4 linked regions of the Oreochromis niloticus genome follow. The protein of the gene in region 1 interacts with the protein of each later gene in a pairwise test. Links are inferred from orthologs where the notes say so. Each region holds a gene or a part of one and is shown in the gene's direction. Other genes may lie near its edges.

Evidence for each region.
Region 2: the proteins of bysl (region 1) and tfip11 interact in binary tests that used the Homo sapiens proteins (3 or more experiments, as listed by UniProt). The link is inferred for Oreochromis niloticus from reciprocal best matches to the Homo sapiens genes BYSL and TFIP11.
Region 3: the proteins of bysl (region 1) and lonrf1 interact in binary tests that used the Homo sapiens proteins (3 or more experiments, as listed by UniProt). The two-hybrid records come from large-scale screens. The link is inferred for Oreochromis niloticus from reciprocal best matches to the Homo sapiens genes BYSL and LONRF1.
Region 4: the proteins of bysl (region 1) and zbtb8a interact in binary tests that used the Homo sapiens proteins (3 or more experiments, as listed by UniProt). The two-hybrid records come from large-scale screens. The link is inferred for Oreochromis niloticus from reciprocal best matches to the Homo sapiens genes BYSL and ZBTB8A.

What each region holds. Positions count from the first base shown.
Region 1 is NC_031970.2:21,836,050-21,843,333, reverse strand, and holds the start of bysl (bystin), read left to right. Parts: upstream 1-4,089; 5' UTR 4,090-4,236; coding exon 4,237-4,501; intron 4,502-5,665; coding exon 5,666-5,816; intron 5,817-7,284. Other genes in the region: med20 (mediator of RNA polymerase II transcription subunit 20), read right to left, coding at 1,528-1,749, 1,848-2,101, 3,495-3,640, 3,851-3,864. UniProt on the Homo sapiens protein: Required for processing of 20S pre-rRNA precursor and biogenesis of 40S ribosomal subunits. May be required for trophinin-dependent regulation of cell adhesion during implantation of human embryos.
Region 2 is NC_031977.2:17,583,085-17,590,682, reverse strand, and holds the start of tfip11 (tuftelin-interacting protein 11), read left to right. Parts: upstream 1-4,391; 5' UTR 4,392-4,537; intron 4,538-5,461; 5' UTR 5,462-5,463; coding exon 5,464-5,669; intron 5,670-5,761; coding exon 5,762-5,921; intron 5,922-6,018; coding exon 6,019-6,175; intron 6,176-6,275; coding exon 6,276-6,403; intron 6,404-6,520; coding exon 6,521-6,682; intron 6,683-6,908; coding exon 6,909-7,100; intron 7,101-7,255; coding exon 7,256-7,435; intron 7,436-7,598. Other genes in the region: si:ch211-166a6.5 (clustered mitochondria protein homolog), read left to right, coding at 1-457; srrd (SRR1-like protein), read right to left, coding at 2,054-2,294, 2,384-2,535, 2,770-2,868, 2,965-3,158, 3,239-3,279, 3,371-3,513. UniProt on the Homo sapiens protein: Involved in pre-mRNA splicing, specifically in spliceosome disassembly during late-stage splicing events. Intron turnover seems to proceed through reactions in two lariat-intron associated complexes termed Intron Large (IL) and Intron Small (IS).
Region 3 is NC_031971.2:21,181,600-21,189,429, forward strand, and holds the start of lonrf1 (LON peptidase N-terminal domain and RING finger protein 1), read left to right. Parts: upstream 1-4,501; 5' UTR 4,502-4,658; coding exon 4,659-5,268; intron 5,269-7,790; coding exon 7,791-7,830.
Region 4 is NC_031983.2:27,606,051-27,613,358, reverse strand, and holds the start of zbtb8a (zinc finger and BTB domain-containing protein 8A), read left to right. Parts: upstream 1-4,294; 5' UTR 4,295-4,446; coding exon 4,447-4,541; intron 4,542-4,547; exon of another isoform or gene 4,548-5,136; coding exon of another isoform or gene 5,137-5,153; intron 5,154-5,461; coding exon 5,462-6,324; intron 6,325-6,418; coding exon 6,419-6,588; intron 6,589-6,737; coding exon 6,738-7,055; 3' UTR 7,056-7,308. Other genes in the region: gale (UDP-glucose 4-epimerase), read left to right, coding at 972-1,092, 1,331-1,446, 1,765-1,878, 2,189-2,365, 2,446-2,559, 2,676-2,742, 2,853-2,938, 3,020-3,097 and 2 more. UniProt on the Homo sapiens protein: May be involved in transcriptional regulation.

The sequences.
Region 1 (7,284 bases):
CGGGCTCTCATTGGCGGAAGGGCTGAACAACAGGCAGCAGGATGGACCGTCCGTCCGTCCACCCACAGCGGCCACATGGAACAATAACGGAGGCCAGAGTGGAAGCCGGGTTTAAGAGGACAGCCGCTACCCCTGATCCCCGGTGTCCCCGTTAAACCCCGTGCGCGCCATGTGTCAGCTCGGTAGGGTTAATCTGGTAAAATACACCTGAGGCGCGCGCGTGTAGTGTGCGTGTGTGTAGCTTTAAGCGCCCTATGAGACGCATCTCCTTTGGATGCTGTCGTGGGGAGGGACTACTTTCAAAATGCGTCAGCGCAAATCAGTGTAATTCAAGTTTAAACATAAAAAGAAAGCCGCTGCCTGGAAGAAATGTGCAGCATTCAGGGAGAGTTTGAAAGCTGAATAACATATCACAAGTCCTAAAAGAGAAGTCATGTCAGTTTTATCAGCTTTAATTACAGTTGTGGTTACGCTGGATATCCAGGATTTTTTCACATGAGATTAGGAGACGCATGGATAAAAATAACCATATTAACAATAGTAATTATCGTGATTTAGTAGGACACTTGAATTATATATTTTTTTTTAAATACAATTACCAATTACTGGTAATTTAATAGGACATTGTTCTGCATTTTTTACTTTTTTTTCCTGCTCTAACATAAGAGTCCACTCGATGCCAAGCATAAGTGAGATCTTCAGATTATTGTAGATAATGTAGTATGTAGTATCTATAAACAGAATTAAATTCTCAGGTTTTAGAAGCTAGATCCAGTCTTTTGGACATTTTAAACAATCCAACATAAACAATCTAACTTACTGTCACCCTAAGATACCTGCACAGATACTTCTTTGTAATCTAATAAAGCATTTCCACTGTAAAATCATTACACGTGTAAGGACAAGCCTCACTTGTTAGCCTCCACCTAATACTGGAACACTAATCCAACTGCATAAACCTTGGGATTGGACTGACTGTGAAATTCCTGGGCCTGTAGTCAACGTTTAGTTCATTCATTCCTGTCTTTCTGACAGAGAAAAACAAAGAAAACTTGATTGTTTGAAAAGAAAAATCTCTCACCTCCTTGTGACATCATCTTTAAACGTTAAGCCAGCGCAAAACTTAGATGATGCAACAGATAAAAATCGACCTCTCTCACCGATAAACGTCATCAGATCAGTTGACAGTCAACAGGGCCAGCGTTCAGCTGATAAATTGGTTCATCCCTGTGTAAACTAGCAAGAAATCAATGAATACTTCGTGTCTCTACTCTCAGATAAAAGTGCACCATCAAAAGGGCATCGCAGTATGAACGCTCAGAGACTCTGACTACTTGTTTTCACTGTGTCTCTTTATTGCAAATGCTTTCATCCAACGCTAACGTGAAGTTCTGCAATGATAATAAAACCCCAGACGTTCAAAAAAATAAAAAATGCCTGGGTACTAACGCTGATCCATAGGACCAGGAATATACCAACATCTGTACAAACATGGAGAGAAAAAAAACAGATATCTTTGTTGCAAACTCAGCGCACATTGCTTCCAGGGATTTGCAGCTTGCGCAGTTTGTTGAACAACTCCAGGTACTGAGTCATGGTGTCAACACAGTCTGCTGGTGCAAAGAGTCCCTCGGGCTTGGCAGCAAACACAGATGGCAGTTCAGGGACGCTGGGGCCGAGAAAGGACTGCATAAACTCCTTCATGAGGTTCCAGCAGTCCCCAGGAACGACACAAGGGCAGTACTCCACCTGAGGAAGCAAGCCAGGAGTTAGCGCCTCACGGAGAGAAAGCAGAAGGACGTGACTCGTCTTTATCACAGCATATATATATATATACACACACGCACCTCTACTGATATCCCTCTGGCACTGGAGCTCATCGTCACGGTACCAACTTTTATCAAGAAGTCGCAGTAGCGATACCTCGAACCACGAGACTCCACCTTGTGTCCCTTGGCATTCTGGAAGTGACTTTTCAGCTTCACCATGAGGACATCAAAATTTGCATCCGCTATTAGGCAGGGTCCACCTTCAAACAGAGCCAAGCAGCTCAGGGGGGTTTCGGAGTTGTGCATCACATACAGGAGCTTGGAGGGCTGACCTACAACGGACAGACAACACTTAAAACTGTCAGGTGAGATGAGGAAGGAAATGAAAGTTCCACAAAGTTAGAGAGGCAAGGCTGAGATTTGCACCTGAGGTTTTGACGTGTACAGTGAGGGATAGTAGATATATTGGGCAAAGGATGTTAAAGACAGAGGAGCTGCCAGGCAGGAGGAAAAGAGGAAGACCTCAGAAGAGATTTATGCATGTAGTGATGGAGGACATGTAGATGGTTGGTGTGACAGAAGAAGCTGCAAGGGTGAGATAGAGGCAGATGATCTGTGGTGACATCTAAAGGAAACAGCTAAAAGAGGAAGGAAAAAGACTTCTGGCCATATAGATATATAACTATTACTTATACTGATGATAATTGTTATTCTCCCACAGATAAATTCAAAAACTGTGGCGGAAAAGTAGCCAAAGACGCACAGGAGGAATCAGCGGTACTGAAGAGGACAGTAACCGTATGTCGATGGAACTCGTAGTAACATTTCTAAGGAGGTGCACATCAGAAGCATAAATTCCCAATAAAAGTGACTGCCTTACTGTTTTGGCCTAACTACAGCCAATCAAACTGGAAATTGAACCAGTACACCAGTACTTATATAGCTCGTTTTAATGTAGCTGAGTACTCAAAGCACTTCCTACTACAAGTCTCACACTCACATTCATACAGTGTTTTTGTCTATGCCTAAGTGTTTTCTAACACACAAACACACACACCCACAGATGGATGCATCAGGGGCAACTTAGGGTTCGGCATCTTGCCCATGGATACTTCAGGATGCAGACTGGAGGAGATGGGGATCTATGACGCTCTCTACCAGCTGAGCCACAGCTCGCGTGACAAAAAAAGTGACATTTCTGGGGGGGGGTTATATGTTATATGTTATCCTGCCTTTATTGTGCCTATATTATAGTCAATCTAGTCCTTACTATCTATCTAGTGCTTATCTAGTCCTTTATAGAATTTTGATGTTATATTTGTCACAATTTCTCTTGCCCTCTTTGCCAGATCTCTCTAGACTTTTTTTTTTTTATGTCAGTGACACTTTTAGCTGGATAAATAAGGGAAATATGAAAATCACTTTGCAAAAAAACAAGTTCTGCTTTGTGATAGAAATGTTCTTTCTGACTCAAAATGACTCAGTATCGTTCATGAGAGATCTGTTTGAGAGATTATAGGCCAATAAGTCATTTAAAACAGTTCAAATACCGGCAATCTTTTTTTCTTTGCAAACAATCACACGAAAAGGGGATAAAATACTCTGCAGCCCCACCTAGACAGGGACATCAGGTCAACCTGATGGGTGAGTGCAATACGTCTGCATTAATGTGATCTATAAATCTGAATTCTAAAGCTCAGAAACAAACAGATAAAAAAATATTACTGCTGGAATTTCCCGTGGCATGGTAAGTCTCGCAGTCCACGCAGAAGCTGCCTTGCTTCACGGCGCCCAGCTGCTCCAGCTTTTTGTGCAGCATGTCCACAGTCTGCTGCACGCTCTTCCCCTCCGCCACGGGCACCTGGCACACACTGAGGGGCACAGCAAGCAGAGGACTTGAGGGACCAGCATACACTTTGTTCCGTGTAACGTTACCAGCATTGCTGAATGAGACAGAGCCACGCCTCCGCGGATCAATGAGAAAAAAACACGCAGGGTGGTTGAGGCTGGGCCAAATCTGTTTGAATATTTAGTGGTTAAAAAACGTTTAAAATCAAACGTAGGTTTAAAAACCACCTTACCAAGTAACACCCATTGATGTTTTGCCTCTCTTCACTTGTAGTACGGTGTTTGAGCACTTCCGGGTTAAACAAAACGCCTTCCGGTACAGTAAAAGAAAACAACAGAAAAAATAAAAATAAAATAAAATATTATTTATAATAAAGAATGGTGAATATTAACACCATTTCACAATGAAACAGTCAACTGACTTTGCTGTACTTTTTTTCTGAAGTGGTCGCCGAAAGCTGGATGTTACGTGAGTGCGATGCGTCACTTCCTTCTTGCCGGACCTGCGCACGTGTTGAAGCAGTGACTGTTTACAGTGTTTGGTAAAGTCTGTCCTGTAGCTCGCACATGTCCACGGAAACATCCACACTGTGGTCACAGCTGAAGTAAAACCGCAGCGATGCCGAAAGTCAAACGGTCCAAAGGTGGAGGAGAGAAGAGCGGAGCCGCGCCGGTGGCGCTGGCCGACCAGATCCTGCAGGCGGACATTGTCCGAGCTAAAGGCCGGGTTAAGATCAGAGACACCCGGGAAGAAAGCGACGACAAGTACGTGGACGAGCGGTTGTCACGGAAAATCTTACAACAAGCCCGCATTCAACAAGAGGAACTTCAGACCGAATATGGGCTGGCACCAGAGAAGAAGAAAGCACCAGTCACTGTTCTCGGTAATGTTGGATTGGTGTTGTAGTTATCCTTAAATTGGCAGATATTTGAATGGAGTCTGGCGAGTGAAGTGCTAACACCATGGGGAGATCAAAAGTCAGTTGGCTTTGACACACATCGCATTTGTTCAATGTTTTCTGACTAGATTAGGTAGCTGTAATCAACGTAGTTTGATGTTTTCTACTTACGCTTTTGGTCATCAAAAGGAGACAAATCAATTAAAAAGTTTTCTTCTTTTGTTTATATACCTATATTTGTCCTTAACTTTCATAATCAACAACATTCCACAGCACAGATCTTTTCATGAGAAAAAACTAATACTAGCTCTGACTTGCAGCCTTGTTACTATACATATAAAATACACTCTCACAAGCACACTTTAAAACATAAAATATCATTAAATAGCATTTCTCTGGTCCTGGATATTTATTTGTAGCAGGTATGTCATAATCTATAAATAAAAGTAATATATCCATTCAGCCCTTATATCATGTGCAACCCTGTTACACTACTAATTTTTTTTTAGCCCTGATCATATCATTTTTAATAAAATTGTCATAAATGTTTTTATTAGCTCACAAGGGTTTGATCTGTTAATCTGCTGCCTTTGTAACTGCTTTAATTATTACATGAATAGTGTTATTTGAGCACAGATATAAATATGAATACTGAAATTACCAAAAAAAAGTACATATTGAAAATTTGGTAGGTTTTGAAAGTTGCTTAAATGAATAAAAATTGAGTGTTATCTGTTATCAAGTGTGAAAGATGCTCAAGAATTTATTAAACAATATTTTTTAATCTACTTTTTCGGGTTCTGAAGTATTGGCTGCAGAGATGCGTACAGAAACTAAAATATCATAAAAAGTTTATCTTTAATCCCTGATCTGGACATATTTAATATTTATTTTTTTCTTAAACACATATTATATTATAAAATAATAAGATATTTTTAAAGCCTGAATTGTCCTCCTATTGTTAAATGACCCAGGAGTTTTTCACACAAATACATAGTAGTGCAACACATGTTGAATCCATGTTACAGTGTAAAATCTTTCCTTGTGATTGTCTTTATCAAGAAACCTTACTTAACTAAAATATTTATACCTAAAACATTTCAGTGTGATCTTCTAATGAGCCATCTCCGTCTTGTAATCTTATTTTAGGGCCTGACTCTCAGGATGCTGACTCGGATGAAGAATGGCCGGCGCTGGGAGCAGCAGATCCTGCAGATGTTGAGTACGACACAGAAATCGTTGTTGACGCTGAAGATGAGAAGGCCATCGAGATGTTCATGAACAAAAACCCACCAGTGAGGTGAGCTACACCGTCGCTTTAACTTCAGGCGCTGCGAGCTCAGCAAATCCTTGGCTTTGTGTTTGTATTAATGCTGTGCAATAGTGGAAAGTTTGGTATCGGGTAGGGGTGGGCGGTATAAACGGTATACGGTAGAAACGATATGAATTTGGCCAACGGTAGAGATTTTGACTATACCGCTCTGCAGCGATAGCGCATGTTGATGGTTTCATCAAGCTGCGCCTGTTTTGGTCGAAAGCATCGCAGCGGCTGCAAGCAATGTCATCTGCAAATTGGGCGACAGTAATAGCGAAGAAATGAAGCACGTTTTGGAATATGAGGAAAGGCAAAAACTGCCCTTCCTCCACTTCCGTACCATTGATTCATTAATGTTGAATTCTCTCGCAGTTGCTCTATACCCATGTTGTTGCAGTATACTAATAACTAACCTCGTATTGTGGATGGATTATCTCAGTTGTTGTCCTGACTGAAGTTTGGTCCATTTACAGCATCCTGCCATGCATTTGTCCCTAACCGTCAGACCCTCACGTTAACTTTTATCGAGTGGAAAAAAGTTGGCGTTCATCCTCCAGCTTCACTGTTTATGTTATGCTAACATAGCTGTGTTGCTAGCGATCATGTAGCACATCATTATGCTTCAGTAACCCTACAAAAGTCACTGCTGTTTAGTTTTCTGTCTTCGCTTATGTTGGAAGTGATAGCAGAGCTGTACGTTTGAATTTTTTCAGAAACCTCTCTGTCAGAACATGCTATATCATGTTTAGGTGGAAACTAGCGAGCTTCCTTCCTTCCTAACTCCTAACTCTGCTCGGTTTTCATGGATGCCTGGATGTTAAACTTAATTGTTACACCTGGTAAAGAAGCAACGCTGATCATTTTATTAAAGATGAAAGAATTTAGACAGTTTTTAATGCTCAGTGATGTCGCAGCGTTCATTTGGCTTTGGGACCTGAAGCAGACGGAGTTTTGGACCCAGATTACTCCGCCAGGCTCCTGACTGCGGCAGCTGTAATGCTCCGAAAATCCATCAAGCGGTGCGGCTTCGTAGCTTACCAAAATCGTACTAAAACATTTTTGACAGATTTTTGAGCGCCGTGTTCCACATAAAATAGGTTTGAGGTCAGTAAGCACAACCAGAATTCATACATAAGACACACCGGATTATAAGGCGCACTGTCGATTTTTGAGAAAATTAAAGGATTTTAAGTTCGCCTTTATAGTGCGAAAATACGGAAGAAAAGAATATATCGCGATATATATTGTTATATATGGATTTTAGGCCATATCGCCCTAGTATCGAGCCAATACCAGCACTTTTAACCTATAAAGGAGTCGCCATCAATTTGCAAATTCTAAATATATTTTAATGACCGTTAAATCACTGGTTTCTTCTTTCCATAATAATTAGTTAAAACACCAAAGCACATCTTTTTAACTTTTCATTTAATTTGAAACTTGTTTATTATTT
Region 2 (7,598 bases), on another chromosome or scaffold:
TAAACTACCTAATGTCGGCTCAGTGGCTGTGAATGAAGGAGGGAAACGTTCAGATCGAGAAACGGGATGTGGGAAGGAACCAGAGGGTGGGGGAAACCCAGCAGCAGCAGAGGATACAAGCAAGTGCCAGCAGGACCAACAAGTAGAAGGATCTCTGGAGAGCACTGGGAAGGTTTCAGCTAATGGTCATGTGATTGAGCCAGCTAAGCAAAACCAGCAAAAGGAGAAAACCAGTGCAGAAGGTGACAAAGCGGCCTCTGATAAGGTCAACACGGTAAATGATGAGATGGAGTCAAGCTCAGGCGAAATAAATGGAAGGATGGACGTCCCTGCAAGCCCATCGGCCCTGAGAAGTGGCGTGAGCTGGGCAGATGTTGTTTCAAAGTCCAGAGGCAAAGCTACAGCCGTAAATGGAGAAGGAGATGGCAGCACTGCCGATGGAACAGCTGAAGAATGATCACGAAGCAAACAAAGAGTTGTAATCGAGTTTTCCAAAGTCACTGCTGTAAGATTAAAAGCTCTTCCAGTATTTCCTGATGAAATTTGATCCAATGAACAAGAAGGACAGAATGAGTATTACTTTATGCTGAAGATTTTACCCTAGTACTGACTCTAAGAGGGTTTAACCTTTTTGTTTTGTTTTTCAATAATAAACTTTTTACCTTGTGTATTAAAAAGTGTGCCTTCAGGTTTTGTTTTGTTTTTTTTTTTTTAAATGCACTTACATGACATGACTTTATATCATGTTAATGTGAATTTTAAAGGTATCAACTCTATTCATCTGTAAATCAGGATGCATGTGTCCTAATAAACCGACCAAATTTGAAGTTCTATTTGTACACAGGTGAGCTGAAGCACTGGAAGGTAGAAGACTGTAAAATAAAAAGGGTTAGCTTTTATAAAATCTTGCTATTCTATATAAAAGTTGAATCTGACTGGTTCAAACATAAGAAATACAACTTATTGTCTTTATATACTTAAATTACCAATGTAACAGTTCAACCCTATGAGAATTTCCATTCATGTGAATATAAATAAAAAATTTGTAGAGTTGATAAAGTTACATTTTTGTAACATGCTAATGTGTGTTTGCTTCTTGGTGGGATGTGGGTTTTTGTTTTGTTTTGAACATCTGACTGTGGAGACCAATTGAGTTACAGTATTCAAGAAACCAGTTTATAATTTGAGCTTTGTGACATGTTATTTTGCTTGAAGCAGCCATCAGAAGATGGGCACTGTGGTGTTTAAATAATGCCCAGTTTGCACTAAAGAGCCAAATAAGTGTCAAAATCTCCCAAACAACACTACGAGCCTGAATTCTAGATGTAAGGCAGGACGGATCCATGCAAATCACTTTCCATGTGAATTGTAGCCTCAGTTACCTGTTCTTAGCTGACAAGAGTGACAGCCGGTGTGGTCTTCTGCTGCTGAATCTCACCTGCTTCAACATTGTGTGTTCAGATATGCTCTTTTGCATACTTTGGTTGTATCGTGGCTAATTCAGGACCAGATACATAAAATGTTACAGTTCTATTAAAGAATTTGTTACAGCTGAATAAAGTCAGACTTTATGAGCAGGATTTGTTATTCAACAATTTAATTCTTGTGCTTTTCTTGAATAGATCGCATGGTCCACAGTTCAAAATAATCCTCATTTTATAGTGGGCCTTCATGCCCAGTCCCTCAATTTGTCACTGTTTGTAAAGAAGCTGTTTTAGCTCTCCTCCATTTTATGCCAGCTTTCTTTTGATTGGCTTCTGCTTACAAACAGAGGGTTTGAACAGTAAGTGGGAGGGGCTTCTGTCCCTTACATCTGGAACTGACCAAATTAAGGTTCCCTGATGGTCTTAAACAGCGAGTTTAGGGCAGTCTGATCCCTGAGGTTTTAGCTCACTGGAAAACTCTGAAACGTGGTCAGTGTTTAATATGAAAACCCATCATTGTCACCATATATAATTAAGTAAAAGTACAACAGGTCCATTAAAAAAAAAAAAAAAAATTGTCATATGAATGACAACAGTCAATAAAAAACGTCCCATATCCATCTCCTGCCTCAGCTCCGAGTTTCCTTCAGTATAATCTCCAAATCAGGGCTGTGCTGGTACTGTGGCTCAGGTGACTCTGCCCAGGTAGACTGTGGGAGACCGTTAAGGCTGTTGGAAGGAAATGTGATGACTGCTGTGTCATTGAAGACGTCTATCAGATGAGATGGGCATGCGAGCTTTCTCTCCACACTAAAATCCACAGCCTTACTGATGTAGCTGTAATCTCGCTTAAACTCTTTCTCGATCGTCCTGTTGGGGAAACAGACAGATGTCAACTTCATCTCCACTGCTCTTGCTTAAACGTTGACTCCATCGTGCACGTGTCTTCTCGTACAAACCTCTCCCTCATCCCAGTGAAGCTGTTTCCGATGATTATCATCAGAGGGAGACCCCGTGCACTCCAGTTCTTCCACAGAAGGTTGTTGTAGAGGGCTTTCCCACAATGCATAAGGTAAAAAAATGTGGGTTTTTCTACCAAACGTTTCCCCTCCTGAACAATACAGACACACAGGATCACACACTGTTTGCACAGTCTACTCCCCTAAACAATGTTGTAGTCCCCATTTTCAATATAAAATGGATAATAAATAATAATATAGTTGAAATTTGAAAGAACTGTAAAGTTTTATGTACTATATGACACAGTTCTCTTTAGTATATGCCTATTAACAGTGTTTGACTTAATTACCAGGACAAAAAAAAACATGAGGGAGCAACAACTGACCTCATTTTCTGAGAGTACAGTCAGACCCAGGTCTCTCAGAACATCTCTCTCTCCAGAGGAGAAGACTGGATCATAGACAGAGCAGTCCTTTAGAGGAATCTGAAGAGATATTAACAGGGAGAAACATAATATGTATAACAAGCAGGGTCTGGTGTGAATGTTTGTCATCTAACTGAGGATGAAGCCTCCCCTGACCTGTCCTGCTTCCAGTAGAAGAAGCAACATGGCAAGCTGGTAGCGGGCTGAGACACAGGAGGCAAACGGACCGAGACCATAACACACACACTCCAGCTGCTGGCATGTCTTGGTTATCCGCTCCGGCTGGTCCTCAGCGTCCTTGTCCGCTGGAGATTTTGAGAGAGATGCTGATGCCGCCACCAAGAGCTGCTCTAAAGGCAGAAAGACAATCACACACACAGCTGCAAGCCAGATGTTTGGTGGTAACCCCAACTTTCAAAGCAAAACCTACCCTTCCAATCTTGCCAAAACTCTTTGCATCTTAGTTCAGACCTGCAGAGGTGAAATAAAAGCAGAGTTATGGGACTGTGGTGAAGATGAGACGTCCGAGGTGTTGCTGCTGAGCTACACTTTAATTTCATACACGGTGTCTCTGATGCGTTTAACAGTTTTCCCGACGTCCAGCGGCTCCTGCCCGCATGCTGCAGACACCTGAAGAGACTTTGAGCTCCTCGACGCACCTTTTCGTCGCCGAGCCACCCGCCACTCCCCTCCGGTGTCCGACATTTATGCTAACTTAGCACCAATACCCCAGCATATCATTAAAAAAAAAATACTCGTCCAGTTATCAAAGAACGAAAAGCATTTTTTTTTCTTCAGTAGACAAGTGACCAACATGTGGGAATATTTTGGGTGTAACACGCGTTTCCTCTTCCGGCGTTACGCCAAATTTGTAGTCCATCAAATAATATCCACCTGGTGGTGGTGTGCGGTCATTAAATTACTTTACAAATAATGCACAGCTCGGTTGATTTAAAGAAACTGCGACATTAATTTTTTGTATTTATTTTAAATATTATTATATATAATTATGTATATTATTGTGAAGCAAACTAGAAATTGCCCCGTTGTTTTTAGCTAATTTTGTTTATTAATACATTCTCATATAGGACTTTGGAGGGTGGTTTTATGTATGTTTGTATGTACTTATTTAATATTTTATTTAACCAGTGTGTCCCAAATTACAGATCCTGATTCACTTTTATAGTAAGAGAAGTCAGTGAGACTTTTATCTTTAATAATTTTAGGTATTCATGTTCAAATATTGCCTCAAGTTACTGCGAAATAATATTCTGAAAGTGGGTAGGCACATTTTTTCTAAATAAATAAACACATAAATACATTTTGAAATGTAGTTGATATATTTAACATATGAACCTTTCTTAAACTAATAGGATGATGTAATATGAATTTCTACTAACCTGGGGGAAAAAACTAAACTGAGTTTATATACCGTGTTTTTATTATTATTATTATTATTATTATTATTTACTACTGAAACGAACATTACTTCACAAAATAAATGAGATAAACGCATCTTTGCCCTATCTATGCCAACAGTCATTACTAAGAACCAACGAAATTTTTTAGAGGGGTACAGATTTTGGTGTAACACCATCATACCGGAAGTACTTGTGTTGTCGTGCACTAAACGAAGAGGCTATTGGCGTTAGTGTGGATTACTTCTCATCGTTTTTGAACGAAAGCATGTCCAATTGATCTCCACGCAGACCTTTATATAACTGTTCAGGTGCGTTAGAGAACACGGTGTTTACACTGCTTGTCAACACTCGAGATTATTACGTATAGCAAGACATTTATGCTGTAGAGGGTAACTAACCTTAGCTATAGCTAGTTATCGTTAGCTTACATTGTGTTTTCTCCACAGAGATGAATTTGTTCGGTGTCGTTAGTGTCAACTAACGAACCAAATATTTGAGATAGTGATGTGTGTGTTTAAGACGTGTCTCTATAAAATAAAAATTTTCTTTAAATTTATACTGATCTAATTTTTGCGACACTGTTGCTGATCTGGAATCTGCAGCAATAGAGCCTCAAAGTGTGGACAGGCTGACAGATTAGTTCAGATAGGATGTTCTCAGACAACGTTGTGGTCTGTAGTTAGAGTAGGGAGCAGGTGAAAGAGAGCCTGGACAGCTGGAGGTGTGCTCTGGAGAACAGAGGACATGTGAGAGAATGAGAGAGAGAGATGGGTGTAAAAGTAACGACGAGGAGGGATAGTGGTTTGATATGGAATGCAAGATATAGAGCTGCCAGGCAGGAGGAAAAGAGGAAGACCACAGAGGAGGTTCATAGAGGAAGTGAAGGAGGACATGCAGAGTGTTGCTGTGCTAGAGGAGGATGTTAGGGACAGGGTTAGAGGATCTGCTGTTGCGACCTCTAAAGAGAGCAGTTGGAAGAAGAAAAATGTTATAGCTCGAAAATATTATGTTTTATTATAATGTATTTGACTTTGTTTTTCCCTGTGCTCTGAGCTACAACTCATTGCTTTCAACAGTAGATTGAGTTTGATCTGTTGCTATGGAGATGGATGTATTTTATTATTCTGATCCCATGTCAAAGGTCTTTACCTAACCTTTAAACGAGTAGAGCAAATTTATTTGAAATTACTTACATTTCTTTAAATTGTGATTTTGTTCATTATGATCTCCAGAGATGTCCATGTCACACCTATATGGGCGGAGAGATGAGGAGGAGGAGGGTGTTGAGGTTGAGAGCTTTGAGGTGACAGACTGGGACCTGGCCAATGAGTTCAACCCAGACCGCCACAGGCACAGGCAGACCAAGGAACAGGCCACTTACGGCATCTGGGCTGACAGGGATTCAGACGAAGATGAGAGGCCCAGCTTTGGTGGCAAGAGGTGAGGCGTGGGTTTGTTTTTGCTGTTGCCCACAGCTTTAAAGTCGGCCATTAGTAGGAGATTGAGTTTGCTGTCTGTGTTTTTATTGCTAGATCTAAAGACTACACTGTCCCAGTGAGCTTTGTGAGTGCTGGTCTGCGAAAGACGGGAGCAGAGGAGAAACAGCTGAAAGGGGAAGGAGGCTCTGACGACTCTGATGATGATGGTCCTGCAGCTCCTCCACCTTCTCGTGCACCCAAAAAACTCCAAATGGTAAATTTGGTTATGTGTGATTTGTTTGTGTGTATATTGCACATAAATATCTCAAAGAAGTTTATAGGAACAATTACATGCTGAGTTGTTTTGCTAGGGTAATTTCCGTGGGAATCAGTCACAGAGGTTTGCAGGTGGCATACAGTCTGGACAAGGCATTGGCAGCTGGGAGAAGCACACTAGGGGAATTGGGCAGAAACTACTGCAGAAAATGGGCTACCAACCAGGAAAAGGCCTGGGAAAGAATGCTCAAGGTAGGAATGGCTGAGGAGGCAACAATATTGAAGTATTTAAGAGTATTGTGTGTATTTTAGAGCTGATCTACTTTGTTCTTCCATGCTCTCATTGCTGCAGGTATTGTAAACCCTATTGAAGCAAAGGTTCGTAAGGGAAAGGGGGCAGTCGGAGCCTATGGAAACGAGCGAACTCCGCAGTCTCTCCAAGATTTTCCTGTGGTGGACTCTGATGAAGAGGAGGAAAAGGTAAAGTGTGGACAAAATTTGGCTTTTCCTTTTTCTACAAGTAAGCAGATGTTGAATTGTAAAGTCTTTTTTTTTTTCTTTTTTTTTTTACATTAATCTAAATTTGTGCTGATGTAGGAGTTTCAGAAGGAGCTGGGCCAGTGGCGTAAGGATCCTGCAGGGTCGGGAGGAAAGAAGAAACCGAAGTACTCCTACAGAACTGCAGATGAGCTCAGAGCTAAAGGCAAAGTGGCGGGGCGGGCTACAGCGGCATCTGCTGGGGAGCTGGCACAGGTCAAGGTATTAGTGCTTTTTTGTCCTTTCTCAGAGGTGTGTTATAAGGGCACTGTGGCATGGTTGTTTTTTACAGCAAACTTTAGCAGCTAAAGTTAATTGTAGTCAGTATTAGACTCTATGGGTGAAGTTGTTTGGTGTATCTATGTAAGCACATGCACTCTGCTATTATTGTTTGTTTTTTTGTTGTTTTTTTAACCTTTTTTACCCCGTACCTGCCCCCGGTGCCTAGGTGATAGACATGACTGGAAGAGAGCAGAAGGTGTACTACAGTTACAGTCAGATATCCAACAAGCACAGCGTTCCTGATGAAGGTCCACCAAGCATGTCTACTCGGGATCAGAAGGGATCAGGCTTTGCGCTCCCTGAGCTTGAACATAACCTTCAACTGTTGATAGACCTTACAGAACAGGACATAATACAGGTATGAGGATACCAAAATTGTTTTTCCAAATATATTTGACTATAACTGAAATACCTTCTTATTAGATCAGCAAACTGGGGCTTCCTTTATAATTTAGCAGATTTTTATTATTTATTTTTTTAATCTCTTTCTTTTTTCATATAACCCCGGTATAGTCTGCCAGACGTCTGCAGCATGAAAAAGACGTTGTTGTTTCTCTGAGCCACGAGTCGAGAGCCTTGCAGAACAGACTGGATACGGAGCAAGATGCCATCCAGAGAATGGAAGCTGTGCTGGCATTAGTGGAGCGTTTTCCATCTGGGGAGACGCCACCAGGGGAGGGTCCTACTCTTCAGGTGTATATAAAAAGAGAATGGACTGACCACCTTCACCTTTTTAGAATTTTGTATTAGGTGTAAAGTTTCACAGACGTCTGCTGTCAGAAAATCATTTAAAAACTGGAGAATAAAACAACATAAAAACGTGCAAAAATTGTGAAACAGAGACAAAGTGAGAACA
Region 3 (7,830 bases), on another chromosome or scaffold:
TTGATTATCTTTATATTTCAGAAATTCAAAGCCTGCGAAGCACTCGAGTACAGCGTGTACATCAGTGTACGAACATAATGCTACGTACAATAAACACACGGGTATGCAGGCCTGCGTTCATTTTATACAATGTTTTTCTAAATGCCAGTTCCCAATATCTCAGGATGCTTCATATTAAAGTCAGCAGTCTTGGTAACTGTAAGAATTCTGCTGGATAGATTAAATAGTTTTATGAACTATGAGAACCAGTGTGACTGTAAATGTGACTCTGGTTTGTGTAATTATTCTTTAAGCGAGACTGTAAATAAATATAAAGTTAGAAACTCGTCACTCTTTATGTGTTTTATGCTTTAAAAGCTTTTGATCACGGGAATCACACAAAGTTATTAATTAAGAGGGGAAGAAGGAAGAACTTTGCTCCCAGTTCGTTTAAATGGGTCTTTCCTACTGTACCCGAGCACTCAGAGCACTTCATTCATACAAGCACTTTCTTCTACATAAGTGCTCTCATTTATATGGGGCAACTTTGGGTTAGTATCTTACCCAGAGATACTTAGCATGCAGACTGGAGCAACCGGGAACCAGGGATCAAACCACCAACCTCCCAGTTAGTAGCTGACCCGTTCTACTGCCTGAGCTAGACTTTATGCTAATGAGTTGATGAAACTTGTCAAATTTGGTACTGTTCAGCCATCGCACTACTGATCTCTAGCAGCTCCTTGCTAAATTCACCAATCTCTTTTATTTTATTTCACTTTTTTAAATTCATTTTTATGTAATTGTACTCCTGCTTCTGTCTCATTACTACATCTTTCTTGAGTTATTTTGTCATATTTACTTAATATCTACTAAATTTATGTATGCTTAATGTTTTGCATGCTGTAGCACAATAATTTCACAGTTTTGGGGATAAATAGCATACATTTTATCTTGTTTTCTGTCTATGTCGTGAAAAACGGCCCCCCAACCCCTCGAACTGGGTAAGTGGAAGTAAAGAGATAATTAAATCTTAGGATCTGTAACTGGGGTCAGTTACATTGGGCATCTTGCATTGATCAAACTGATCTAGCTGTATTTTTGTGTGGTAATAATCTTGCTTGCTTTTTTAAAATATGCCATATGAAGGCTTTGTTATGTTATTTAAAAAAACTCCCTTTGTGCAAACACTTGGTGGGGAGTAGGAAGAAAAAACTTCCTTTAACAGGAAGAAAGCTCCAAAAGAATTTTCTCAGGAAAGACAGCCACCTGCCTTCACTGGCTGGCAAACCAAACAAACAGCAGTTTTTGTTGTTGTTTTTTTAAATCAGTAATACTGAGCAACTTCAGACTCAGGGTCATATAGAGACAGACAAAGAGTGATTTAACACAGAACACACAAAGTTACTGACGTGCAATAGCAGCATATAAGTGGATGATAAGTGAGCAAGAGGAGAACAGAGCCGAGCACCACTATGAGTCCTCCAGCAGCCTGGGCCTAAAGCAGCACCTGAACCAGCCCTATGCATTGCATCATCACAGAGAGTGCTGTCATCTTTACTAAACTCGACAGGAGATGGTGGACAATAAGGAATAAGTAAAATAAGGAATTACAATAATTCAGCCTTGAACTGGCAAACGCAGGACTAGTTTTTCAGAATCACTGTGACAGCAGATGTTCCTAATTTGTACAATGTTGCACAGGTGAAAGAAGGCGGTTGTAGAGATTTGTTTAATGTGGCAGTTAAAGAACATATCTTGGCCAGCATGTTTGCTCTCTAACTATCATTCACATGTGAGGAAGACTTATATTTTGCATAGACAAATGGGCAACTGTCAGATAATCGTTATACAAAGTAACATCTGCCATAGTAAAATTTTGTGATCGGTTGTGAAATCAGTATATGGTCTGATTATTTCCTTCTGTGCTTCAAATCCACAAACTATGGTTAGTCTGTAACTCTTCAGAGTAACCATACGGATGCACATTTGCAAGGATCTAGAAATAAAGAGGGACGATCTTAATTACAGAAAAATAAAAAGGCTATGTCAGGTATAGCTTCTTAATAAAGACACATTTAATTGGGAATTGTTGATCAAGAATAAATTAAGATTTTAGAGGATGACACTTCCTTTCTAGCTTTTGTGACATCGGTTTTAAAATTATATGAGAGTGACAAGGAAAGAGAAAGGAAGATTCATGAAAGGAGGGTGTGCTGACTCTGTTATCATCAGTGGCACTGTAACGTGTTTAATGTAGCAAATGAGCAAAGTTCAAGTTGTGCGTCTACACAGTTTTAACCTTCTGAGACCCAGCCTGCTCATTCGCGTCCTCTGTAGTGGACACACAACTCACACACAAAAAAGTTAAACTGAAAGTTTAACCTCCTGAGGTTAGTCATGGAGCTGTATGCTGGTTTATGCATCTGATCAGTCGAGTGAGCAGACTGTGACTCAGTTTACACAGTGCAACACTGCCCTCTAGTTGGTGTTTATAACAAGCCTATCACATGACAGTGCAAACTGCTTCATCGCACTCTGCGTATTGCATACCAGCAGAATGTGCTAAGCACCAAATAATGCGATCCATGCGAAATATTACATATGAACTGCACGTTGACAAGTGATCATTAATGCTATGTAGATTTCTATTTTTCAGTATAGAATAGAATAGAATAGAATAGAATAGAATAGAATACCTTTATTGTCACTATACAGCTGTACAATGAGATACAGAGCATCTCCTACTCAGTGCAAACATGCTGGGGGGTATAAAACATTTCTGTGACATGCTTTAAAATTCATTCGATCAAAAATAGATACACATTTTATTGTATTTATTCAGTGCAGACATTTTGTAAATAAATAACTTTTTACAAATAATTTTTTTTAAACAAGTCCATTAAAGCAATAACATTCTTTAACCACTAGAGGGAGGTGTCCCTCCACGTTATACAAAACTCAATCAGGTTCACACCGCCTCATAAAACGTCAGCTACACTGTGTAAGGTTTTTACAGCGTTTTCCCAAAGATTGCAGCATTTCATAAATCACCCTTTTACTTTTCACTGAGAGCTGATGACCTCTGAACATCTGTGTATCATTAAAGCCGAGACTGGTTAAGCATGAGGGGACGTGAGTGGATATCCTGTTCGATGGCTATCATAATATAACCATAGTATCACCACAATTGCCACTATGTACTCTGTGCAATATGTACTGTTTAGACTCTGCGAGATAGCACAGAAACTTACAGCCAGGAGAACATATTTTGACAGATCCCGAGAGCTGAAGTGACTCAACAGCCAGTTTGAAGAAGCAGATTCGGAGCTGGCAGATGATCAATCAGAGTAACTGTTTGGTGTGAACAATGCAAAATGTCAAACAAAACCTCTTGTTGTGTAGATGTAGACAATTTGTTTAATGTATTTGCCTCAAAAAATGATTTATTTTTGCTTTGGAATATTTTGATTACTTCTTGTGGAACATGGAGAGGAGAAGAAACAGAGGAAATAAATAAATACTGGCCCTTCGTCTTTTTCCTTCAAACTATGTTCGGACATAGATAGATAGATAGATAGATAGATAGATAGATAGATAGATAGATAGATAGATAGATAGATAGATAGATAGATAGATCACGATTCTCACGATCACGAAAACTGGGTACTTTTCCTATATGTGACTTGAAATCGGACATGAGAGATGCATCTGCACCTACTGTTTGTCGAAGTCTTATCAGAAATGGTCTCAGTGGAAGGGTGGCCGTCAAGAAGACATTCGTATGGAAGGGAAACAAGGGAAAAAGGCTGTCATGGTTTGGAACAACACCAATAGTATTTCGGCTAGATTTTGATTCACCATGCAATACCATCTGGAAACCATCTGATTGGCAAAAGCTTCATATATCAGTATGACAATGATCCCAAAGACACTGCCACTGCAGTAAAAGCATACCTGGGTAGAAAAACACACCTCCCCAGACACCGGACCTCAAGCCCTGTTACCTCTGGAGAAAGGTAATTTCCCGTTACATAAATAATATGGCTGTGACGTAATCCTAGCAGTGACCGGGAGTTGTTATCTTTGCTTTTCTGTGCAAAACTTTCTAAAAAACCAAAGAGTAAATATTTCCGGCAGCAAATGAAAGTATGAAACTACACTGAGAAAGTCGAAAGAAAAAGGAGGAAATAGGTGCATAAGGTGCATGAAATTAATTACATAAAACTGACACTTGGGAAAGTGTTACAAAATCGTATTACACAAGCAGTTATGAATGCCTTCTGGTAGGTTTCCTATTTCCCCTGGTGTCAAAACCTCCCGCTCAAACTTTCGCAGTAATATGACTTCTGCTTGGTTTTATTTGACTGTAAAGGACTTGGAGGTTAAGAAGTTCCAGTTAGAGCGTTGACATTTGGCACACTGACAACTTTACTACGTCTCTTCCGTAGTTATGAAACTTTCAAGCGCAGGTTTTGTAACCGAGAGGTCCCGACCAATCACGGCACGAGTCTGCTGCTCACGTGACAATTATTTTTTTTATGTAACAATCGGGTATCTGTGGGAAAGTGCGTTCAATATACCGCAAAGGACCACGGCAGCCGTAGAAATGTATAAACACGTTACCAGAAGAAAACTTAAGTCTCTATAACATACTATTGCTCATCTTTTTAGACGCTAATATGTCGCTCCAGCCGCAAGCGGCGGACGCCCTGGAGGAGAGAAGCGCCTTCTTCATCGGTGCTGACTCGGGCAACGTCTCGGAAGAGGAGGACCACCATGAACTTATACTTCAGAAAGCTAACGCTCTAGCGTCCGAAAACTGCCTTAGAGAAGCCATTGACTGGTTTTCAGCTGCTATGCGGTACAGTCCTGTGCGGCCCGAGCAGCTCAGCACTTTCGTGGACTGTATCCTCCGCAACTTTAAGAGGAAAGCGGCCGGGCCGGAGCCGCTGTCGGGCCGTAGTAGCCGGGATGCGGCGGAGAGCTCCGCGGAGGAGGACGTGCTGGAGTGTCCTAACTGTCACTGCTTTCTAGGTGAACCCGTGACCTTAGCCTGTGGACATTCATACTGTAAACGATGCTTACAGCGACGGCTACTTCACAAATGTAAACTGTGTAGTGAACACGTGAGGGGCGAGGAGAAAGTGAACGTGATTTTGTGCGCACTACTAAGTAAATGGTTCCCGGAGGAAGTGGAAAAATCGAAAAAAGTAACGGAAGTGGACGCACTCTGTAGAAGAAAACGCTACCAAGAAGCCGTGGAGCTAGCAACCGACGTGATTCAGTCAGGTCAGTGTTGTTAACAGTGCCAGCCGTGCACTCGGGAGAGGTGTGTCTACTGCGCACTCTCACCGAGCAGGCGTGACTGGAGTGCGGATGTGTTATTACTTAACCAGGGTTGTGTAGTAGTGACGGGAGCGGGATACGTGTATGGCCCGTGCCCTCAATGGATTCAGAGGGGACAACATGGTGACCAATATTTTCTTTAAGTAGTAATTACTTAATTTCATGTGTTATACTGACGCCAGTCTCCTCCTGCTCTGCCTATCTGCTGGGCCCAGCTTACGAAATTGCACAAGATGGGCATGCGCGCTTGGTGCACGTTGCGTAAGGCAGGTCGTGACACATATTGGAGCAGGTTTTGTAACTTATTATGGGGGGAGGGCGGTTGTATTTTGTAATTGTTATGTCTGGGCGAACCACGGTTTCATAAATGTCTTAGAAGGTGGGAGGGGGGGATGGATTCACCGAGGGGTAAAGCAAGGCAAGGCCGGGGGTCCGTATACACACCCAGCAAAGGCAGCAAGTTATGCAATGAAAGAAACTAAACCAGGCTGGTTTATTTATTTGTAGTTAGCCTGCTAGTGATGTGGGAGGTTTGTTGGCGTTGAGTTTCGCAGGTGCAGATGCAAGTATTGATAGGAAACCCCTATGTGGGTGTATTGAAGTGAGTAATGCTCCTCTGTCCGGTAAAAACAAACTCCAGTCATACTGAAAACTGTACACTGAGTTCCCAGGTTAAAGAGGAAAAACAGGCCAGAGGATAGCATGCCCTGCCTTCGTGAAAACAAAAATAGAAAGTAAAGCAGTGTGATGCATTGTGGGTATGCTGCTGTCTTACAAGAGGAACAGGCTTTCTTTTCCTTCTTTTTTTTAATTTCCTGATTACTAAATTTCTGATTACTTTCAATCACACAATGAAGGAACTCTAGTCTATTCATTAAACTTGTGCTGTTATAGTAATTAGGGTAGTAGTTCTATAGCCTGGCAGCTTGACAGTAGGTCTGGAAAACTGCTTTGGACCTGCATGTGATTTAATATCTCATGTAACATGCTGTATCCTTTTTGACCTCTGTTACTCAGACATTAGCAGCACAATATCAGGATGTTTAGCGAAAGGGTTACCCGTGTTCCAGGAACCCCCAGGGACTCAGACTTGAAAGCATGTCTTAGTTAATCAGAACAAAATAAATTGCATTTGATAGTTTGAGTAACTTAAAGCAAAACTTTATCCCCCCCTTTTTCCCCTAAAATGGTAAATGGTTTGTTTTTTCTGGATGTAACATGGAGCTTGCTGAGGATAAATTAAGAAATAATCAATACAACCCAAATGCACTTCCTCCCCTACATTAGATGCTTGGAGTTACTTGCTTTCAAATTAACATCATATATTTGTTTGTTCGTTTTTTTTCTCGTTTGCTGCTTCGACTATTTTAAAAAGGAAGGAAGGGCTGTGTGCCGGATGACAAATGACAAAATATGAAATTACAGCCTGACCTGTTCCTGGATTGTCTCTCAGGTCGTCCCAAAAGCAGTGATTTGTACACATTAAAGGTTACATAAAGATAACAGCGGCATCACCCTTCTGTCACTTGACAGTGGGTCGAGGACTTCACACCGATGCCACTGAGGCGCTATTGCAGTCGACAGTACCTGCTTATGACAGTGCAGACCCACAGTTCTGCATCCAACCTGAGGGGAGGATAGAAAGTTCCAGACACAGAGGGGGTGCTTTGCTGATGTAATGATGACAAGACAAACTACCCTTACCCTTCCAATTAGTATCTCGAATGCTCCATAGAAATGAGATAATCTCTCTCAGGGAAACGTAATACATTATTAGCACTGACAGTATGCAATGTGGTTTATGATGACACAGCAGTTAAATAACAAACTTCATCTGCCACGCAGACAGATTGCTTTAAAAGGCTGAGGCAGGATGATTACATAGCCAGTGGAATATATCTTCATCTTAATGTTTAGTCTTTCTCACAGGTGGAAGTATTTAGAGCTGTTTTAGGCCCTCCTTAATGGCAGCTGTTCTACCATCAACAAAGCAGTCTGCCTTTCAAAAAAGCCTGTCATTGTGTTTAAAGCATATGTCATGTTTTGTAGTGCTTTTTCTTTTTAATTTAAACTACCACAGTGGACAGAACTATATAGTCAACCAATCTCTCTCTGGTCTTGCAGGCTTCTGCAGCTTGTTTTCCTTTTACACTGTTTGGCCAGAATTCATTGACACAGTTAATATGTAATGCAGGGTCCTGATTAATTGCATAATGTATGACTTGCAGGAAATATTTTCTGTTGAGGGGAAAACAGTACTTGCCTGTGCAGCTAGGAAATATTGTGGGGTAGCTCAGTGTGTTATAGACTTAATTGGTATGTGTGCTATTACATGTATGTGACATGCAACACAATCATTCAGCAACTAAATGGTTTGTATTTGTGCAAGTGTTGAGGTTTAAGCAATTTCCTCTGGCCATTGAAGGTTTTTCTTTCCCCCCTCCTTTTCATCCTGTCCCCTGCAGATCCAGACACGACGGCGGTGGCGCGACTGTCTCGAGCGGA
Region 4 (7,308 bases), on another chromosome or scaffold:
ATTTATCCCATATGGTTTTACAGAAGTTGGTTTCGCTTTCTTGAAACTGAAGAGAATTTAACGTTTGTGCTTTTATTTTGAAAGCAGGCGTACAGGAAGTCGTCTGTTAATCTTTCGCTTGACTCCGCCCCACGTTTTACAGGAAGTAAAGAAATGTCTACAGGAAAAACTAGAAGACTTCACTGAATGAACTGACGGATAAACCTTCAACACTCACCTCTTCTGCTTCTGCTTCCGACAACATTTATCAAGAGTCTCCACCGGAAACGCCTGTTCACCTCTTAAAGAGAACCTCGGTGAGTATTTTATAGAAAATTTAAATGAAAGTGAACTGTTGTGTGTCATTTTAGCACTTATTACTTAGGTTATGTCTTTATTCTTCAAGTAATATTATAAGATTTGGTTAATTAGCCTGAAGAAGCAGCTTTTACTTTTTTCTTTTAAAAAAAAAAGCCTCTAAAGTTGCTCTGATCCAATATTTCATCCATTTGAATTAACTGTAATGTGTGACGACCTGTAAAGAGATCAAGTATAAGCCTTGAGATATTCTGATTGCTTCCGTGGAATAAACAGGATGTCTTAAAGATGAGTAATAACTGGAACTGAGTAATAAAGTTTCATCATACAAAGTGCAAGGAAGTTGTGGCCTGTTGGAAAGAGAATATCACTCTCTCAAAAGATAAGATGGCTCTTAACAATAGCCAGTAGTCACTGACGTGTTATTCTTCGAGCAATATAATTGTTTCATGTGGTTGGACAGGTTAAGGCTTGAACCTGCTGACGTGGGACAATACAGGTGTGTCACTTAGCTTTAAAGTGGACTTAACAAAGCTTTCAGGTGTGTCAGGATAAAGGATATCCTCATCCTCCAGTCAGGATGACATAGTTTTGCTTCCACTACAGCATTCAGACTGAGAGAGGATTTTGATTGACTTGATGTGATTGTATCTTTTATCCATCAGACCCAAAGAATGGCAGAGAAGGTGCTGGTCACAGGTGGAGGAGGCTACATCGGGAGTCACTGTGTGGTGGAGCTCATTGAAGCAGGCTATCAGCCAGTCGTGGTGGATAACTTCAGTAACGCTGTGCGAGGTAAGCTCCGTTACGCACACCAGTGAAGAGCTTTTACTGAGAAAATTATTGAAAAAATTGTAGGGTCTACCTTACAATATAAAGCGGCTTGAGGCAACTGTTGTTGTGATTTGGTGCTATATAAATGAAATTGAATTGAATTGAAAAATAATCAGCGTGATACTTAGACCTGGTGTTTCTGTGTGTGTGTGTGTGTGTGTGTGTGTGTGTGTGTATATCCATTGTGTTTTGGATTGAGGAGAAGGGAATGTGCCAGAGAGCATACGCAGGATAGAAAAGCTCCTGAAAACCAGCATTGAGTTTCATGAACTGGACCTCCTCGACCGCCCCGGCTTGGAAAAGCTGTTCAAAAAGGTCAGAAAGTTGTTACAGTTGCTTTGTTTTTTCTAATTATTTATCTGCATCTGAAACTGTTTTACAGTGTAGACACTTTGATTTGTAAAGTCAGTATGTTTGGGTTTGTTTAGCTGAAAAAACAGCCCAATTTCTGCTTTACTGTTACACCCATAAAACAATCAGCAATAAGAAAAATGCACCACCATTTAACTTTTATAGCCTTTGCTTGTTTTCTTAAAAATGTCCCTGCTGGCCTGCATAAACTGTCATGAAAAGCAGTTCATTTGTAGTATTTGCGGCCTGTGTCACACGTGCTTCTCTGTTTGTGTGTTGCAGCATTCCTTCAGTGCTGTGATTCACTTCGCAGGGCTGAAAGCTGTGGGCGAGTCGGTGGAGAAGCCATTACTCTACTACAAAGTGAACCTCACCGCCTTCATGAACCTGCTTGAGGTCAGTCAGTAGCTCCTGGGTGATCTCAGATTAGCACTTTGAATCTTTGCTCTGCACTCATTATTAATCCCTGCTCTGACCTTCTTCTGTGTTTGCCGAGCGCACACCCGTGTGCTCATTTGAAAATGAGCTGATAAATTCTAAAACCGCGTCCTTCTGAGATGTTATGCATGTGGAGCTCACCGTAACAGCCAGAATCGGCCTTTTTTCCTCAGCCCTGAGCTGAATGCACGTGTGCTGTGGACTGCTGACTCTCCGGCCACTGATTGTGTGTATGTGCCATGTTTATGTGTATCTGCATGTGTCCCAGGTGATGCAGGCTCACAGAGTGCGCAATCTGGTCTTCAGCAGCTCCGCCACAGTATATGGAGACCCCCAGCGCCTACCCATAGATGAGCAGCACCCCGTGGGAGGCTGCACTAACCCCTACGGGAAGACCAAGTACTTCATCGAGGAGATGGTCAAGGACCACTGTAAAGCTGAGAAGGTAAACTCAGAAGAAACACATTCACAGATGTGCACACTTCCATCTCCTGAAGTGTCTCATTATTCCTTCTCTGTGGGCAGGACTGGAATGCTGTGCTGCTGCGCTATTTCAACCCAATCGGAGCTCATTGCTCCGGTCAGATAGGAGAGGACCCTCAGGGTATCCCTAACAACCTGCTGCCATATGTTGCCCAGGTATCTAAAGTCTCTGCCAGATGCCACGCTGTGCGCATCATAGTGATTGTTATTTCACTGTTTCATCTGTCTCCATGAATCGCATGACTCCGATTTGCTTGCATTGCTTAATTTAGGTAGCCGTTGGGAGACGAGAGTGTCTGAGCGTATATGGAAATGACTACGACACGATCGATGGCACAGGTAACGGAAATCACTGCAAATCATTGCACTTGCAGGCAGCTTTGAAATAGCACTTTAAATAGCAGCCAGATACTCAGAACCATGCAAACGAGGCTCCTTTCTGTTTGCAGGTGTGAGAGATTACATTCATGTTGTGGATCTGGCAAAGGGACACATCGCTGCTCTGAAGAAGCTGAAGGAGGACTGCGGGTGCAAGGTATAACAACTTGGAGCAAATTTCCATCACGACCATTGTCACATAGATGCTTTAGGTATTTATTAGTGTGTGTGTCTGTAGGTTTACAACCTTGGGACAGGAAAAGGCTACTCAGTGCTTGAGATGGTGAAAGCCATGGAGAAGGCTTCAGGAAAAGAGGTGAGTCATCGTGGTTACTGTGAGAGCTGAATCATGTTTATAGTCTGTTTTCTGGAAGTGACGCAAAGCACCACCAATCTGGCACTGTGGAAATACCTCTGATCACCTTATTTGTCCATGTAATTAACACAATGTGTTTTCTGTTTAGATCCCATATAAGATCGCCCCTCGCAGGGGAGGAGACGTAGCTTCCTGCTACGCCGACCCTCGCCTAGCTGAGAAGGAGCTGGGCTGGAAGGCTCAATTTGACCTGGAAAGAATGTGTAAGGACAGCCACGCTGGAAAATCTGATTCTTCTCCATGTTTGCTTTTCTACAGTCAAATAAAAGTGTTGTAGTATCTCCTGTATGATCTCTGTGTTTTTTCTTTGCACCTCTTTCCATGCAGGTGAGGACCTGTGGCGCTGGCAGTCCATGAACCCCACTGGATTTTCTAACGGCACTTGCTGACGCAACCCGAGTGGACTGTTGCTTAAAAATCCTCTTTTAAAATCACCAAAGGGAACCACCAGCTTCCTCATTCGCGCAATGACACATAAGACCTCAAGAGAAGCTGCATTGTTTTTATTTTTGTTAAACTCTAATGATTCAGCTGACTACAAGAAGAGTATCTAAATGTCTGTTTACTCTTTGCTGTTAGCTCAGACTTAACAACTGATATTTTCTCTATAAATGTATTGATCTGTGAGCCATAACAATGAAAGAATAAATTAATTTTCTTACTGAAAAGCTGAAACGTGCACTTTCTGCCTTGACTGTGTGGAGTGATTGTGACCCTGGTTGTTGTTAAATACATACAAATATTTTTTTTTCAGAAATGGGGGGGTAGATTAAAGACTCGGACCTGTGTGATAAGGTTAGAGGAGCATCATGAGTCCCTGCACAAATACTGTATGAATATCGCTCCTTTCGCAGTGAGGGCGTCTGTTTAAACGGGGCACTGGGACTTTAAATGGCTCCTTGAACCCTCGGGCACCCAGTTAATAAACACCCACGTCAGCACAGTGCTCCAGTCGGTCTAACCGGGTTTCGGTCTTTAGGGCTGAGCAGGAAGTGCCTGACTGTGGACCCTGGACGAGCAAAGAAAAGAGCGGAGGGGGGGAAAGGCAAACGGGAATTAAACATGGATATGGTGGCGGACTTGGGGGCGAGCAGACTGTACAGGGCGCCGGGTGAATCGAGCCACCAGTGAGTATCGATGGATTTTGTCAGGGGGAGTATGAAGGCGTGGGGCGTAAGCGGGTCCTGCCGACACCTCGCGCCTGCGAAGCAGTCGCTCGCTTTGGGCAGCAGTCAAATCCTCCCCGCTGCTCGCCGGACCTCCGGAGAGAAGTGGGGGTGGTCTTGAGGATGAAAACGGGCGTGTTAGCGCGTCGTTGCCCCAGACTGTTACACAATGCGAATAGATGTGTTTTTCCAGCTCGCAGCGCGCTCACTTGCCGGAGGTTTGTGTCTGTTTTTCTATTGTGTGCTGGCTGAAGCCTGAAGTGGGCGTCGCTCCAGGACAGACAGACTGAGCTGCCCGCTTTCCTCTCGCAGGACTGCAGCACTGTCGTGTCGCTTTGTAGGTCGAAGGATGTCTGATTTTACGCGGAAGAGCTCGGTGGGGACGTTAGACTTGATTTCGCGTGCCGTGAAAGGCACCATGGAGTCCTGCGGGCGGGCGTTGCACCGTGGGTTGTCGGGCGCTGCGGAGGTTGTCACACAGCCGCGCTGATGGCTCATTAAACACGGGTGCGTGCAATCCCGAGCCTGCATGAGCACGGATTGAACAGGTTACCGTGAAATAAGAACTGGTCTGAAAATCAGGGTGCTGGACCTATTTTTTTTCTTTTTCTTTTTTCTCTTTGCGTGTCCGGCTGCAGTGTTTTATTTTCTCTTCCTACAAGTCTGACGCGTTTACTCCGTCGGGGGTTTCTGGAGCGCGTGAGACCTCAGAAATGATTCAAGGTTTTGTCACCCGATGCTCTCTGACTGACTTGAGTCGGGTGTAACCCATTAGGAGAAGATTTTGCTTGAAGGATCCTTCAACAAATCAAAATGCAGAAAAAAGTCAGGTGGGCGGGCCTTCTGCTGAGCCGGTGTAAAGACAAAGATGCAAAAATTGACAGCTGCAAGCATGTGGTGATGCTGTTGTGTTTATTATGCTCAGATGAATGTGGCATGATTACCATTGTAGGCTGTTACCAGACCATTAAAATCCAGCGGCCTGTGTTTTCCATGTTAATTTGGCATTGGGAAGAAGTTCAGTAATGAATGTCCACCAGGTCTACAGGACTTGTGTCATTTCTTATTTTCTTGCTAAAGAAGTGAGTGTGTCTTGCATACAGAGCTAGTGAGCGAGCTGTCATGTTGTCTCCTGCAGGCAGCCTCAGAGGTGGTTCAACACGGCCGACATCACAGTGTCTCACCAAAGCAACCTGCTGAAGCAGCTCAACCAGCAGCGCCGCCAGGAGCTTTTCTGTGACTGCAGTGTGTTGGTGGAGGGCCAGCTCTTCAGGGCTCACCGCAATGTTTTGTTCGCCAGCAGCGGCTACTTCCGCATGCTGCTGTCCCAGGGGCCCGATGACACTGTCAACGCCACCTTTGACGTCTTCAGCCCCGAGACCTTCACGGTCATCCTGGATTTCATCTACTCTGGCCAGCTGGACCTCTCCAGTCACAATGTGATTGAAGTCATGTCTGCAGCCAGCTATCTGCAGATGAACAACGTCATCAGCTACTGCAAGAACTTCATCAAGTCCTCGTTGGACATCAGTGTGAAAGATGAAGACAGCGATCGCTGCCTCAGCTTGTCTGAGACCTGTAGCTTTACCAGCGGAGCAGGAGAAGACTCCACAGAGCAGCATCAGGGCCCCTGCTCTGTCAGCCCTCCACCTGCGCTCTGGACTCGGGACAACTCCAGATCACAGTCTAGCTTTATGGGAAAGGACTCGGACCAGGATCCTTCGGCCTCGGCCCTGAAGACTGATCCAAACAGCCCTGTTAATGAGCTCAGTGCAGATGCAGAAGACCTCCAGGACCCTCAGGACCCTTTGTACACCTTGCCTGGATCAGACCGTCGGCGTGGAAAAGGGAGTACAAAGAGGCGAGCGACCAACAGCGCACGGTCCAACCAGCACGAAGACTTGGACATCCAGGAGGCGCGGACACGAAAGGCTGAAAAGGCAGAGGAGCTTTACGCCACTCTGCCACCAATTGTGGGTGTTATTGGACACTTTAATAAAGGTGTGTGCCACCAGAAGATGATGATGACGGGAACACTTGGACAGAGATGATAGGGAAAAGTCAAATGTCACATTTTCTCTGTTCCTCTTTGCAGATTCGAATCCTACCATGCGCTTCAAATGCCCCTTTTGCACACACACAGTGAAGAGGAAAGCAGACCTGAAGCGTCACCTGCGCTGTCACACCGGTGAGAGGCCGTATCCATGCCAGGCCTGCAATAAGCGCTTTACTCGCCTGGAGCATCTACGCAGCCATTTTGAGACGGTAGGTGTTTTCACAGCAGATGGTAAATTTACACTTTCTTCGGTGTCCGTGTCGGCTTACAGCTCCAGGAAAACAAGCTGCTAAACAAATTTACTCTAATATTTAATAAATCGTTATCCAATCTTTTCTTTTTCTTGTTAATCTCCCAGATTCATCAAGCCAGGAAGCTGGTGTGCAGGAAGTGTAAGTGTCAAGTGACCGAGGAGACCGGGCATGTGGTGTGTGAGGGCACGAGACGCTACCGCATGTGCACAGCGTGCATCCAGGAAGTGGGCTGTGACGACATCCCCATGAACAGCCTGGAGGGCCACAACGAGGAGCCGGCGCTGTTACTGGGTGTGGACGGGGAGGAGGAGGGGGACACAAAGAGGAGCTGGATGGTGACTGACGACGATGACCTGGCAGAAGACTCGGGGGCCGACCTCATCATCCAGCAAGTGGACGTCAGCGACGAAGAGCTGCAGTGAAACTGGACCAAAGTGTGCGTGTGTTTTTGTGTGTTTGTGTGTTTGTGTGTGTGCAGATGCATACCCAAATTTGAAGTGTTTGTGTTTTAAAGTGGCCCTGGTATGCTCATTTTCAATTTAGGGGTTTACTACAATAAATTTACATTCATTAGTATTCAAAAATCATTTTTCTCATATTGTACTGTGCATAGTGTTGCTGCTGCACCTCTTTTCACCATCTGCCTGAAACGATCTGTTCTAGGAAAGTGAGGTA